Daphnia pulex: one gene and its partners. The main gene of each other region encodes a partner of the protein of the gene in region 2 in a complex. Links are inferred from orthologs where the notes say so. Each region holds a gene or a part of one and is shown on either strand. Other genes may lie near its edges.

Evidence for each region.
Region 1: BUD13 homolog (region 2) and probable small nuclear ribonucleoprotein G share a complex: the UniProt entries of both Homo sapiens proteins name them as parts of the minor spliceosome. The link is inferred for Daphnia pulex from reciprocal best matches to the Homo sapiens genes BUD13 and SNRPG.
Region 3: BUD13 homolog (region 2) and spliceosome-associated protein CWC27 homolog share a complex: the UniProt entries of both Homo sapiens proteins name them as parts of the activated spliceosome. The link is inferred for Daphnia pulex from reciprocal best matches to the Homo sapiens genes BUD13 and CWC27.

What each region holds. Positions count from the first base shown.
Region 1 is NC_060026.1:11,525,244-11,529,353, forward strand, and holds probable small nuclear ribonucleoprotein G, read right to left. Parts: upstream 1,804-4,110; 5' UTR 1,646-1,803; coding exon 1,614-1,645; intron 1,551-1,613; coding exon 1,528-1,550; intron 1,466-1,527; coding exon 1,341-1,465; intron 1,275-1,340; coding exon 1,221-1,274; 3' UTR 1,183-1,220; downstream 1-1,182. Other genes in the region: sideroflexin-1-like, read right to left, coding at 2,192-2,251, 2,317-2,411, 2,480-2,569, 2,632-2,759, 2,824-2,909, 2,978-3,053, 3,119-3,388, 3,447-3,595. UniProt on the Homo sapiens protein: Plays a role in pre-mRNA splicing as a core component of the spliceosomal U1, U2, U4 and U5 small nuclear ribonucleoproteins (snRNPs), the building blocks of the spliceosome.
Region 2 is NC_060019.1:12,605,766-12,611,015, reverse strand, and holds BUD13 homolog, read right to left. Parts: upstream 3,258-5,250; 5' UTR 3,235-3,257; coding exon 3,122-3,234; intron 3,020-3,121; coding exon 1,627-3,019; 3' UTR 1,574-1,626; downstream 1-1,573. Other genes in the region: follistatin-related protein 1-like, read right to left, coding at 1-187, 272-302, 625-696; glutamate carboxypeptidase 2-like, read left to right, coding at 3,742-3,802, 3,868-3,988, 4,065-4,356, 4,420-4,542, 4,604-4,787, 4,874-4,964, 5,053-5,161, 5,224-5,250. UniProt on the Homo sapiens protein: Involved in pre-mRNA splicing as component of the activated spliceosome. As a component of the minor spliceosome, involved in the splicing of U12-type introns in pre-mRNAs.
Region 3 is NC_060020.1:8,995,335-9,001,030, reverse strand, and holds spliceosome-associated protein CWC27 homolog, read right to left. Parts: upstream 3,483-5,696; 5' UTR 3,088-3,482; coding exon 3,046-3,087; intron 2,985-3,045; coding exon 2,819-2,984; intron 2,750-2,818; coding exon 2,706-2,749; intron 2,632-2,705; coding exon 2,595-2,631; intron 2,534-2,594; coding exon 2,400-2,533; intron 2,321-2,399; coding exon 2,291-2,320; intron 2,222-2,290; coding exon 2,085-2,221; intron 2,022-2,084; coding exon 1,863-2,021; intron 1,774-1,862; coding exon 1,642-1,773; intron 1,575-1,641; coding exon 1,387-1,574; intron 1,311-1,386; coding exon 1,190-1,310; intron 1,127-1,189; coding exon 964-1,126; 3' UTR 919-963; downstream 1-918. Other genes in the region: trypsin-1-like, read left to right, coding at 5,176-5,359. UniProt on the Homo sapiens protein: As part of the spliceosome, plays a role in pre-mRNA splicing. Probable inactive PPIase with no peptidyl-prolyl cis-trans isomerase activity. As a component of the minor spliceosome, involved in the splicing of U12-type introns in pre-mRNAs.

The sequences.
Region 1 (4,110 bases), on a different chromosome or scaffold from region 2:
AAATAAACATCTTAAAATCTGTAATTCGTATGTAAGGCATCTGTATGCATGCGTACAAATTACAGATTTAATTGTCTATTACGGCAAGGGAAATACAACATAAGTAATATCTTCAGTGTAATATTTTTTGTGAGGAAGGAGTGTGAAATGTATTTAATGATTATTGAAAGAATGAATTCAAACTATCCACGGTTCATTGAAATTATCTAGTAACACAAACAAATGTGAACTCCACTAAATGAAATATTTGGAAAAACTAAAAATGATTCTCGGAAACAGACACCGAAAAATGGCTACCTGGTCGTAAACAAAATACTAACGATTTGAGACTCTGAGTTGCCAGCAAAGCAAGTTCTTTGCCAAGTCGTCGTTTTGAGTCTCCCCACACCGCCCACACTGCCAGAAACTTTTCCAGACCAGAGCAATAGATGCCTGGTCGGTTCTCGGCTGTGTTGGCTTCCCTATCCCGGTTTCAGGGTAAACGTGGTCCGATTTGGAAACTGGAATGAGCGCTCTAGTGAGTGTGTCAGCTACTACGCTCAGCTACTTTTGAGAGCCTAGATGGCTCTATTTCCAGTTTCAACTTCACAATTCTGACAAGCTCCGCCCTAAAATGTCTGAAAATCGGGGATACGTTTAGTCGTTTACCCTAAAACCGGGATAGGGAAGCCAACACAGCCGAGAACCGACCAGGCATCTATTGCTCTGCCCAGACCTAGTCACTCTCATGTTAATTTTTCGTCTATCAGAATATAGGCCCCACCCTTGTGTATCGTCTGGAGAGCATAGATGGCGTTCAACAATTCCGAGCTCAACAACTATCTAACCTTCTGGCAGTGGCGCTGAATTATGTTATTTATATATACCACATAATATAAATAAGGTAATAATATTACATGCACAATCTCTCATCGTGATTGACGTGATCAAGCTTAATTTGTTTAATTAGCGTCAATAAATGAAATCTTTCATTACCGAAAAATTGTTTTAGAATTCTCATTATTTTTTTACTATTAATTTTAATTTAACATTAATTTCCAGCCATTATATTTCTTCTAATGGTGTTTTATTTGCAACACTCCTTAATTTTCAGTTTATTTGTAACCTTTTCATTCTTAATTCCTCTCAACCCAATGCTAAGATGGCTAAGAAAAGAGTAATAAAGTGGAATGTTTTAAATAATTTACAATTTGGATGACATTTATTTTTCAGCAGTTAGGCTACATGATTCTTTCCAGTGCTTCCAACATTATAATTGAGTTTCCACGAACAACCTAAATTTACATATAAATAGTTAATGGTATTTGAATTTATGTATGCCATGTTAATTTTAAACATACCACCATCCCTATGTTATTTTTCGAACCATCTTTAACTTCTTCAACGGTTTCATCAATGACCAAGTTCATGAATGGATCAAAACCTCTCAAGATCCCAACAATGTTCCTACCACCATTCAGTTTCACTGTGAAAAACAATTCTTCAAAACAGTTTTCAATAATAATTTAACAAAAAAATAATACTTACAAGACATTCTTTTATCCATGTACCTGTACAAAAGAAGTAGAGATCATTATTAAAAATGTAAATATAACTTAAGCAACAATACATACTTCTTCAACTCTGGTGGATGGGCCTTGCTCATTTTGGTTTGAAATAACTAATATCTAATATCTACGTTGATGAATATATCACTAACTTCAAGCAACTAGGAAAAAACGTGATACACCAAGAAAGTTTGGATCGTTTTTAATGTCCGATGCGCGATGCCAAACGTTAGGAACGCGTGTTTGCCAGATATTGAATTTAGAAACTGGCGGCTTTGCGAGACCGGCGACGAGACCTGGCGGCTGGGCGCTGGCGCGCTAAGGAATTTTTTATACAGCTTGTGGCTTTTTTGCCTTATTAAAACAGGAAAAAAATTACGATCTTCAATTAATTGTATAAATTAGCAGCTACAATTCTGTAAGAAAATATTTTTTAGCAGTTTATTTCTATAGCAAAATGACTACCAATTACCTCAACTGGAATGGAAACTACACCAATATACTTTGAGCAAAAAAAAATAAACTGTGGAAGTTACTTTAATTAAATGTGTTTTTCTGTTGTTTTTTTCATTTTCTAGTTGATCTAAGAAACTTGTACTGAGATATTTGCACTCGTCCACAGTAATTCAGTGATTGACTCAAATTTACAGGCCCTTGTTGTAATAAACAACAGTTGGGGGATTCGGGGATTTTCGAATCTTTGCCTGAATTAAAAAAGAAAAGATGTATGTTAAAACAAGAACCACATTAAAACGCTATAAAAAATTACCTGTAGCTCTGGTTCCAGACTGTCAACCGAAATCGATGCTTTTTGAGGAAACAGGGCACAACACATTGGAGTAGCGAAAGTAAGTAATACGCCACCTGTAAGCCAAATAATAATACATAATTGGCCGTTTACAACTACATGATAAATAGTTAATGTTTCATACATAAAGTAACTTGAATAGGTGCCGCAGACCAAGGGAATCGCTTCAAGAAGCCCTTTCGATCCAAATAATTCATCAGCAGAGGTGGTAGGACTGCATATTATTGTGCTGGATGTTTTATTTTTATCAGATTACTATCGTATTACATGAATTACCCATTCCAGGAGAAGCCATTCCGATACGACTAAGGACAACTTGAGTGATACCCCATTTGGCAGCAATCGAAGATTCACCGAGTACATTTCCGTTCTCATCAGAAACTGAGATTCCCTTTTGAATTTCACTAAAAAATCAGTCGTATTTTAAAGCATTAGTTATCTTATGCGACGAGAAAATGTTTATCTTACTGCATTCGCATCAGAGGAATATTTACACAGTTAGCGGCAGCAACAGCTGCAAAGGGTACCAAACGCCCAATAATAGGAGACATTGACTAAAAATTAATTTCTCATAAAGTTATTTACATTATGGTCCATTATATCAAGTTAATATTTTTGATACCTTGGTCAAGCTATTCAAACCAAGAGCAGTGACTAAAGCCCCACTTGTTGCCAGTGCATAAGATGTACCCAATTGTCTAAAAAATCAATAGATTATTATAACTTTCAGTGATTTATTTAAAGGAAACTAATTTATTGGTACTGATTGGTGATTGGGGAATTTCCAGATCTGTTGGTATAGTTGACAATGGCATTAAAAGACTGATTAATCCATTGCCAAAAAACAACTGCTGGAGTTGTTCGATAGAAAGTCATCATGCAACCAGTGATAAACATGTTACATGGAACCTGTGCACTCATTCTGCCAATAATCAACATTTTATCCCCTGTGTCTGGATGGAAAGCAGAGTCATAAACATGTTTGGCTTTCCATAATTCTGCAACAGTCAATCCATTTAGTTGCCCATCTTTCCTGCTCAAAATGTAAGTTGTAAATCATTATCTTTATAAATTCCATGTGCGGACTTCACCTGTATTTGGTCACAACTTCTTTTGCCTTATCCAGTTCTTCATCAGAGCACAGCAGATTTAGCGGATTCGTGGTAGTAAAGAAGTGGTTTGCTCGCCCTTGATAAGTTGCCTGATCCCATCTAGGCTCATCTATCTTTATTTGTTCCATGCTAAAGAATTCGTGATCCAAACTATCATGGAAAAATCCACACAAAATCAAATGCAAATCAGTGTGGATAAAATCAAATAAAAATAAACATTTACCCTGTTATTACAGAGAGGCGCAAAAAATGAATTAATTCAGCAGCCAGCTGATATTTTTCACTACAGCATTGCCAGATAAGTGCATCTGTACGACTGTGTCTGTCGGTATCTTTAGTCTCTATCTTTAGCCAGCGCAGCGGACATTGCATTCCCGATAGGGTTTTTTTTTGCGGAGTTGGTGTCTTTTTAGCTTTGGGTTCGATGTTTTTGTTCGATTAATCGTTTTGTAGGGATAAAAAAAAGCCTCATAACAATATGAACGGGAAAAAAAATTGCTAACCGAAATGAATCCGCCCAAAAAATTAAAAACCTACGCGCGAGTTTGACTCGAAAGTATGGGGTGACAACTTTCTTTATTGACACGACAGTCGACAGCAATGTTGGGTCTTGTATGTTGACATATTGGTATAGCTGATGTGA
Region 2 (5,250 bases):
CTGATGTGAACGCCCGTCAGACAGGCATCGCGATGCATCAAGCAAAAGTTATCGTAGGATTGATTGTTGCTGCCGCAGACGGGGACAAAATGATCCGGACAAGTGGCCAGGCAAGCGCAAGCAGCCTCGCCATCGGCACCCACCTTACACTCTCTTCCAGCCCGGCATACCATCATACTGCATTCATCTATTCATCGTCAAGATCCCATCAATAAATTTCTAGACAACTCGAAACGTTCTGTCGAGATAAAATGCTTTGTGTTTACTGTACCTTCGCCCAAGCTCATATCCAGCGCATTTTCCTATACCAACAAAAAAAGAAACAGAGAAGGGAATAAGTAACCCACACAAGTATACACAAAACAAACCATCACATTTCCATACGAAAAAAAGATTTCGACTGTACAGATGGGTCAAACTAAAAAGAATTAACGTGACGACCAGGCCGTGAAGAAGATTAGAATTTTCACCCGTATCATAGATGCCACTGCTTGGTAGGAAGAAAAAAAAACACAAATTCCTAACAGGATTTACTGGTGACCGTTTTGAGATAAATAAGCCTATCCTTTTTTAGAAGAAATGGGGAAAAAAAAATAAAATACTCTTTCGAATGATTGTGCTTACCTCAGAATTGGATGCCAAAGCAGCTTGGAAGAGGATGCAAAAGAGGGAAACGAGGCCGAGTATCCGCAGCATTTTTCACTTCTGCACAACAATCCGACAGTTCTATAATTGCAAATCTGGAATTTTCTTCTCGTTTCACAACAATGGCAAAAAACCCAGAGAGTCAACAGCAAAGAGGTACAGACTGAGCACCAGCAGCGGCCGTGTTACCAGGTGGCTACGACCAAGACTGAAGCTCGGAGAAGAGCGGCTGCGTAGGTACTTTCAAAAGACGAAAAGAGATGTGATGTTTTCTCGTCTCGTCGTGCGAGCCAATGGCCAATGGCTTTAGCAGTGGTGAGAGAGAGAGAGAGAATGAGACGGCAAAGAGAGAAGGTCTGGATAAACTGGGAATCAAAAAGGAGGAGACTAAACACAAGAAAAAAGAGAAGAGAGAAAGCCCCGAAACATAGACAACACGGACAACAGGGCACACCTGAAAACGGCCGGCCCACTTCGTGCCGTGACCTTCCTCCCTTCTCTTTCGACACACTCAGCCAAAGCGCCATCTGGCCATAGCGCACTCGACACACTCAACAGAAACGACCCCAACGCCTTTTCTTTCTTTTCTTTTTCTGCTGCTGAACAACAGAAGAAAAATGATTTGAAGGCAGCCAAGGCCGGAAAGGGTGTCATCTTCCGGATAGAATTTTCCGATTCAACCACGACGGACGATTCATGAATAGCCGCACCTCCTCTACAACATGGGTTGGGCAACTTTCACGAACTGCTGGTAGAGTCGCGACTCGGAAAATGTGCAAAGTGTTGACGCCATCCGCATGGAATTTCCTCCGCGCGCCTCTCGTTGAATCTGAAAAAAACCCTGCAATTTTGAATGTTGATGGATGGGCCCCATTCCGTCGAGGTAATAAAAAGGGAAATGTTAAGAACAAGGACAGGCGTCATTGGCTACTAAAAGTAATTGCATGGCTTTATTCAGTCAAGGTAAATTCATCATCGGAATCACATGTCGGATACACTCCATTTGTAGGCTTCCTCCTGAAGGGCCACGGCGTTGTTTTGTTTTTCAAAGTACATCTTCTCGTAGCCAGTCGAGCGGTCAACCCCGTCCCATCTGTAGCCGGGTAGTATACCGAAACGATTGGGAGCAGCAGCAGGGCCCCTGTAGACAGGTCTAGCGGCTTTCCCCTTGCCGTCACCACCGCTCTTGACCTTTTTCTTGGCCATGTAAGCAGCCATGGGATCACCTTCACGATCTTGTTCGCGTAACAACCTTTCCAAATCTTCGTCATCGGCGAAACGAGCCAGCGGTTTGGACATTTCGTGAATGGCTTCGGCAACTTGCGTCGAATGCGTTTCTCCTTGTTTAAGACCCTTGTTCCATTTTTGGTAAGCTTCTTGCAGCTTGGCAATCTTCTCGGCTTTTTCTTTATCAACCTGTTGCTTGGCTTCAATTTGGCGCAGCTTGCCAGCTCGGATGGCAGTCGTGGCGTTCTGCCCAGTGAGTGATTTGTCCATTTTGCGGAAGGCTTCCTCTTCTCTCTTGCGTAATGCATCAGTCTCCTCACGCAAAGCTCTGCCAGTCTGAAGGCCGGCCATCTTTCCATCTAGGGTTTTGGTCAGTTTCTCCGAAGCTCCTCCGCTGCGTGATGTTGATTTATTAGGACGCTCAGGGCTGAGGTCTCCGTCTGGATCTGGTTTGATGCGCATTTGGGCACCGGAATCAACGTTTTTCTTCCGCCGCGGAGGACTGAGATCACCGTCAGCATTTTGATGCTTTCTTGGTGGACTCTGGTCGGAATCGGAGCCTTTACGCCTTCTTAATGGACTTTGGTCCGAGTCTGAATCGTGTCGCTTTCGTTGTGGGCTTTGATCCGAGTCTTTCCTTGTTCTTCGAGGAGGACTAGCATCTGAGTCTGAATCGTGACGTTTTCGTGGTGGGCTTTGATCAGAGTCTTTTCTCGTTCTTCTAAGTGGAGATGGATCAGAGTCTGAATCATGGCGCTTTCTTCTAGGTGGGCTGGCATCTGAATCAGAATCGTGTCTTCTACGTGGAGGACTGGGATCTGAATCTGAATCATGTCTTTCTTTCTTCACTGTGATTGGTCGTTTCAAGGCAGTGGAATCTTTCCTTGGTAAGTGACTGTCACTTGAATCAATATCTCGATCACTTGATTTAGACATGGATTTTGGTTTGTCATTTTCATCCACACCAAGTCTCTTCCACTTTGAACTTTCCACAAAGTCTTGTTTGGTTATCATTTCTATGGAACGATTATCGACAACCCCAGCCACCAGAGGAGCATCTTCTTGGTTGTCAATTTGGTCTTCATCTTTCTCGTATCCTGCAGCTATCTTCCTCAAATCTATTTCTTCATCAACGATCTTGATGCCCCTAATAAGTAAATGAAAACAAATTGACTAGATTAAGAAAAAGCTTAAGTTAAAATTAAAAAATGATGTGTATTGTCTAAAGTTCACAAAAAGCCTGACTTACCCTTTGGCTTTCAGTAAGGGCCTGAGTTTCTTTTTCTTGACTTTATTTTCTTCTTTTTTCGAAGAGGACATGTACTTTTTCAGATATTCTAATTTGCTCATAGGAGCACTCATTTTTACAATAATTTCAGGGGAATATTTACAAACCGTAATCCCTCGCGTTTGTCAACGCTTTCACACGAAATATGAATACAAGCTCCACCTATGGTTAACGCGTGAAACTATACACCATCTATCGGGAAGTTTTCAAAATAAAAAAAATTGTTTAAAAAAAATAGATTTATGTAATAGCGATTTTAAAGAAATGTATTCATTGCCTATGGCGTTTACATTTTTTACAAGAGTCACCCGTCAGTTAAGCATGCGACCTGTCTTGTGTTAAACCACAAGCAACCGATGGTCTGGTTGGCTTGTCAAATCACCTTAGTTACTGTCCAGGTATTTGCGTGCCGCTGCATATGGAACACGCAATCTCGAACCCGACTTTCTACCCGCACTTCCCGTGCTTTCATTGTCATATTTTCAGCTATTTAATAACCTGTTTCTTTTCAAACCGTCGTTATTATTTGAGGTACAGTAAACGAGAACGGAAGGGTGTGGAGAAGTGATCGCAGCGAAACGATGGCGCAAAAACCCAACTGGATTTTAATTTGCACGGCTTCTGTAATTTGTCTTATCATAGGTATCGTAATCATTTGAAATGTTACTGTATGTGTTGGTTTGACTTCATCTTTCCACCTGACAAAGGAATTCTCATCGGTCGTTACGCTATCGGAAATGATAGGGACGACGTGTCGCCTCAGAAGGCGAAAATGTCTGCCACTTTGATGGAGGAGCTCAGTGCATCAAATATTGGCGAATATCTCAAGTAAGTCCAACATCATCGCTAATCAAAAGACAAATTTGATTCATTGTCTAATTAACTCCCAAAATGATTGTCACAGATATTTGAGCAGTATACCGAATTTAGCTGGAACTCCACAGGATTTGGAAGTGGCTAGTTGGGTGCGCGATCGTTTCGTCGAGGGAGGATTAGACGAAGTCCAATTGGTTCCTTACAAGGTGCTGCTTTCCTACCCAGACATGAGCAACCCCAATCAGGTCTCGCTACTCGACTCCAACGGCAAGGTGAACTTCACCACCTCAGGACGTCAGACGCCACTCTTTTCCAGCGAAGAATTCTCTCCGTTAGTTCAACCCAATTTTAACGCTTATTCAGCTAACGGAACTGTCGAGGTGAAATTAAATTTCTATCGTTGTTTTATTGATGACACTTAACTTAATTACACCATTTCATAGGGGGAACTCATTTACGCAAATTATGGTCGGAAACAAGATTTTGAGTACTTGAAATCTCTCGGCATAGACATTCGTGGTCGAATTGTGATTGCTCGATATGGGGCGATTTTTCGTGGCAATATCGTAATCAATTATTTTTAAAAATGTATTGAATTATTACTAACATTTGATATTTGTACTACAGGTGAAATCCGCCGAAGATGGAGGAGCTCTTGGAGTGATACTCTTTTCTGATCCCAAAGATTTCGCCCCGGAAGGGCGCACATCTGTCTATCCCAACACAACGCGACTTCCGGGCATGGCTGTTCAAAGTGGTTCAGTTCTGTTGGGTTACGGCGACCCTTTGACCCCTCTGTACCCAGCCTTAGGTATATAAAGCTGTATAGTGAGCGGATGTAACAAGAGTAATAATAACACAATAAGACTAACAAAACAGTTATATTTACGTTATAAGAGGGCGCTTACAGACTGCCGGAAGCTGAAGCTCCACTACCCAAAATTCCTGTTCAGCCCATCGGATACGACGAGGCAGAAGTTTTGTTAAGGTGTGTGAGCGTTGACATTTTTGTTGTGTCAACAACCTTTGATACAAATATAGTCAATGAATTTCATTTCCATTCTTATTTTTATTAGATCCATGTCTACAGAAAATCCTGCACCGGAAGACTGGCAAGGTGGTTTGAATGCAACTTACTTTTTGGGGTCGAAATTCACCCAAAGGAAATGGTCCGTTCGATTACAGGTAGCTCGAAAATAAATTGGTAATTTGCCAATTAATTTTTTCACAAACGTGTTCCCAATTAGGTAAGAATGACCCACAAGCTAGCTACA
Region 3 (5,696 bases), on a different chromosome or scaffold from region 2:
ATCTATCCTGTGCAAAATCGCAAGACGATTCAAACGACACGAAGGGCACACGAAGTCCATATTTTTATCTTCTTTATTTAATACCGAGATAACCGGGATCCGGGATTGCAAATCGTGAAACATCACGAAAACACAAAGTCTCTCAAGGGCTCGTAAAAAGAATTATCGATAGGAAATGTAGCTTTTTCATCAAATCATTAAAATAAATCATTTTTCACCGTAAATGAAAAAGTCTAAGCTGATTTCAAACTTCGAATGTCTATTATATGAATATATAGAGAATATAATAGACTTTTTTTTCCTTTTTTGTATTTGAGGCATCGCGAACACAAAAAATCAAAGGAATGATCAATTAAGTTTAGTCTTATATTGAAAATAGGCCGGTTTTAGGCTTCCATATCTGGCTATCCAGATTCACTGAGAAAACGAAGACAGCAGAGACAGAAAACAGAACCTTGTTTAATTCATTTAAATAAATTTTGTGAAGTCAAAATCAACTTCGACCAAGTCTCCAGTGCCCCCGCCCTAGCGCCCCCGAAGAGTCCATTTATTTAGTCGTGCGCATTTACCATTTGGTTTGATAAAAACACGCGTCACACATTTAGCAACATTTAGTAGCTCTGCAATTTCCTATTCTTGATTCTTTTGCATAAGTCCGATGTTTCAACAGATAACCGACACAGGCACGCTGCTTTTATCCCCGGTTATTTCGTGACCGTTCGTGACCAATCCCGTTTATATTGATCCCACGAAAAATTTTGGAGAATTTTCCTTTACATAACAATTCCTTTACGCGTGCAGACTACTTTGGCTACAATTGACACACAAGTTTATGTTCCAGCAAGCCTAAGTGACATTTGTTTCTGATTTTCAAGCTCGTTGAATCAAAGAGAAATTGGTGAGATTAACAAACAAAGGTGAGTTTTATATGTGCATTTCAAAACTGGAGATCATTTTTAGTTTTTAGTTGAATTTCCTCTCTTTCATGATCTTCTTTGATTCCTCTCTTCTTCGTTTGTTTAAGGGGTTACGGGGATCGTAGATTTCAAACCAATCATCACTTTTTGTATTAGCATCTCGGGCTAACGAAGGATTTTTGTCTTCGAATTTCAACGTGTGATTCAACCTAGAAAGAAATAAAGAAATTCTGCAATTTTCAAATTTATAGGGATAAAAAATTATTTCTCACCATGCATCATCATCGTTTACGTCATCAATATCATCAACGCCTCCTTTCGTTGTCCGAGTTTGGCTAAGCTTACTCTGAAATTTTTTAAGGAAATTAAGGGTTTCAGCTTCTCGGTCCGTGCCTATTCCAAATAGAATATTAAAACTTGTTGATGATATGATGAGGTAACAAATATTTTAAACAATTGATCTATTTACCCTTTCCTCGCCGTGTTGTTTTTATGTCCGCATACTTCTTCTGCTGCTCATGAAAATCTTTAAGTATTTCATTATCTTCTTCACTGTCGCTAATTTTTCTTTTCTTAGATAATTCTTGATCTTGAGGAGTTTCACTTGGGTTTTTCATTTCCCTTTTCAAGTCTCTTATCTGTTCTTTGATTTGCTTTCTAAAAGTAAAGCATTTACTTATGAGCATAACTATCAAGTAATTGTTATGACTTGTTTGTTTCTTACAGTTTGTTGTTTGCTTCAGATTTCTTTTGGTTCGAAATGTCAACATCTACACTTTCAGGTGATACTTCTGGTTGCAAATCAGTTTGAGGCACAACCTTTTCAAATTGCCGTTCAATTTTTGTCGGTTTGTCGCTGAAAATATGACATGGAAATTTTACATATGAATGTAGACCATACACAGTCTTTGAAAATGATCTGACGGCTTGTTCTATTAAACGTACTTATTTGTTAACCCCGTTTCTACGTTGACTGCAGGAACAATGCTAAGTTTAGGGTCGTTAGTCAGTTCATGAGAAGATTTCCCACGAAAAGACTTAGTTGGCTGATGAACATCTGTTTCATCTTCTTCTTCGTCCCCAAAGGAAAGCAGCTGAAGATTCCTACAGAATCAAACACAAGCTCTTATAGCAGTTATAACAATATTACATAGCTGGACTTAATACTTTTTTTTATTTATTTTAGATTTTATTTCCTCTGGTTTCTTGATATTTTCTTGGCTAATCCTTGGTTCAATGTCAGGGAATGGATTAGAAATAACTTCTGTTTTAAAAATTTTAGGTGGATGACGAGGTCTATCTTCCTATAGCGTTTATGATTTTATTGATTTTATTATTTTATTATTTGAGTTTCAAAATTTAAATATACTTACACTATCAATATCCAAGTCATTAAATTTGATCTATGAGAAAGAGAAAAAATTGTACATTAGAATTTCTTGAATAATTTGTTCCCAGCGTAATTAACAAATTGTCAGTTACCATGTTGAACAAAGTATTCCCAGCAACCCTACCAAAAATTGTGTGCTTATTTTGCAGTTCCGGACAAGAACCCAAGGTAAAAAAAAACTGTGATTCATTGTCATTGTTTCCAGTGTTAGCCGTTGCAACCAATCCTTAAAAAGATGTTTGAAATGGTACATTATGTAATAAAAACACAGAAGATGTTTGCTTTACCTCTTCTGACAAATCGTAGACGTGAATGAACTTCGTTCTGAATACCAAAAGATTGTAAAAGGTTAATAAAGACTGAAATAATGAATTCTATTCAAATGAATACTATGTAACCTTGAATGGTTCCCCATAAATACTTTCACCACCATGGCCAGTCCCTAAGAAAAAGGGGTGGTAATTGTTTCAATCAAATATAAATAACAACAGATCACATTATTAAGTTTTACCAGAAGGATCTCCTCCTTGAGCAATAAAATTTGGTACCACTCGGTGAAAAATTGTTCCATTGAAAAATCCTTCAAGGCATAGTTGAACAAAATTTCTGCAAGCCTTTGGACATTCTTTGCTCCACAGTTCTATTTCAATTTCTCCTAGAGAAGTAGTCACAACAACCTAAACAAAAGTTACGTTTTAGCACGTAGTTCAATCAATGATACATGAAAAGAATACAAACTTTTCCATTTGTTGGTGGTTCTTGAACGTATATGTTACTCATTGTTGTAAATCGAGGAGAAAAAGGAAGAAAATCAAAATGAAACTAATTAAAATTCCGTGTTTTGATGTGTATAATGTGCAGAGGTAATGTGTAGCTCGACAAAGCTAGTAGTAGTAGCAATCTAGCATCTATGTCAGTTCTATGTCTAGTTCGGAGTTGTTGGCTGCTAGTTCGAGCGAACTGTGTTTGGTTTTTTTTTAAACAAACAAACCATTTTATCCTTTCGACTCACAGCGCTACTGGTGGCAGACGATTGCAACGCACTGTAAATAAGAGTTGCCTGATACTATGCTGGCCATACTCATACATTTATCGCTCTTGAATTCTGAGTTTCTGACGGAAAAATTCACTTATCTTCAGTCTTATTCGATAACTATCGTTGTATCGTATGGATTTAGTAAAAATAGATTTCCTTATAGGACACACATAGAACTAAGCTCGTGATTTACTGATTTGGAATTTCAAAAAATCTCTCCCAACTATTTCTTTATCACTCATGAAATAATTAGTTAATAAATTCATTTTAATTATTTTTCTCTTAAAATTTGGGATCAGGATTTCAACTGTGATGTCCCAAAACTGAAATCTGCATTTCTGTAAAAAATTAAAAATCTGCTGGATAGCTCCATACCCTTAATTTGATCTAGAAACCCTTTTTCCTCATCTTCCTATTCCTACCGCTATAATATCTCAATTGCGTTTTGTTTTAGGTATAGAAACTGAAAAATCTAAAGTGTGAGGAAAGCCTTTGTATCTTGTTTTCTACTGTGCTAAGAGTATTTTTATTACAATAAATATATTTTAAACATTAGATTTAAAAACTTAAACTTTACCGCGATCAACCTGACAAATTTTCTTTTATGAAATCTGGAATTTTTTTTTTTAATAACCCGACCTACTTTTAGTAGGCAAAGACGAAAATTCAGTTTCTTTTTTGGAAAGTTGTGTATTTTAGCTGAAGGTTATTAATTGACTAAGGAATAGGACAAACCAAGTCATGGATGAAGCTATGACCACAATGTACCAAACAATAAAAGTATGGCCTGCTTTCTCCAAATTCTATTTTCTCCCAATTTGGTAAACGAATCTGCTGCTGCGATACTTATTATTAGCATGTAATTAGCAAGCAACTTTACGGAGGCTTCAGAACAACAACCGCAACAAAATCGAATAGCAAGAGGAAACGCAAGTACCGTGTGAACGTGATGAGGATGAAGCCGGATGAAACGCCTATCGGACGATGACGCGACATGACACACTGAACGTATGGCAGGCTGACAAATTTTAGACTTTTTCACCTATTTTGGGGTTTTTCCGTAACAATCATTGTAAACCTTAAACAAATATATCTGAGACAACCGCGCATACAAATGGGGAGTTTCAGAGGAATTTGCATAATTTTAAATACATCTGAATGGTATTGTTAGTGTTTAAGCGTAATTGATGTGTAAACGGTTGTGAATAGAAAGTATTAGGGCGCATAGTTTGCGTGGCTGCTTCTCCATGGTTGATGAATCTTCGTAAACAGCCATGCAGCGTATAACGTTAGTTTAATAGCGACGTGACCTGGATTTCTTCGGTAAACCATTGGAAATTGCGGAACCTAGGAGAAAGTGAGGAGAGAGCAGAACAAATGAAAGGATGACGAAGAGAAATGTTACGATTAAAAGTCTACGAAATCCAACCACGAGCGGTAGGCATTCAGTGGTGTTCCTAGTGCCTCGCAATGAGGTAGTGTTTGGTCTCTTCACAAGTTACAAGGAAATGTTTTGATAAAACTATCAACGTCACATGAGTCATCATAGCTTTTCAATCAAATTATGGATCATTGTGTATAAGCGCCTCCCTTTTCGCCGTTAAATCTTTCGGACTTGCTTTTCTTTTTTGTTACTTGTCGTTGCTCCCAGTCGTGATTTCTTCAGTGGACCAAGTTACGCGACCGTGCTATGTCTTCCAACGCGGAACTAGCCGTTATCAGGAAACACTGAGTGTTATACTTCAAAAGCGGAATTGTGACGAAATTTCGTTGTTGTTACATTCTAAAATACAAACCGTCGACCGAATTTGGTGTGGATTGTACACATAGAAATGAAGAAATGTTGTACCGTGAACGTTCTGTTACTTTTAGTATCAATAGTTTTCGCAATGGGAATCGGCAGTGTTTGCTGCTTCGATATTCCTACGGAATTTCAAGAAGGTTACCAGCAATTTCCATTTTCATCTTTTCCATTTTCCGATCCAGTGAGCAATATTGACACAGTGATTTCCCAAGGTAATGTATCATCTCATTTTTGAAATTCAGCAACAAATTGTATTTTTGTTGGTATCGTTTAATTTTTTGCATTTCTTTGGTAGTTTCAAAAATGATATATTTATTTACAGGCTAACAGCTGAAAAGCAAATGTAAGGTTAGGGCTGCTTCGACAAATACATTTATTTGTGAAGCTTAGTATTTTCTATAGTTGAAATGGCGAATTTACTATCTTTAGCGGCTAGCGAATATATGGTAACCTAGTTAAACACTTCACGGGAACACACGTAAAGCATATAGTACGTATCATGAGATTGAATGGAACCCAAAACGGGGAGGTGGGGGGGGGGGAATATAC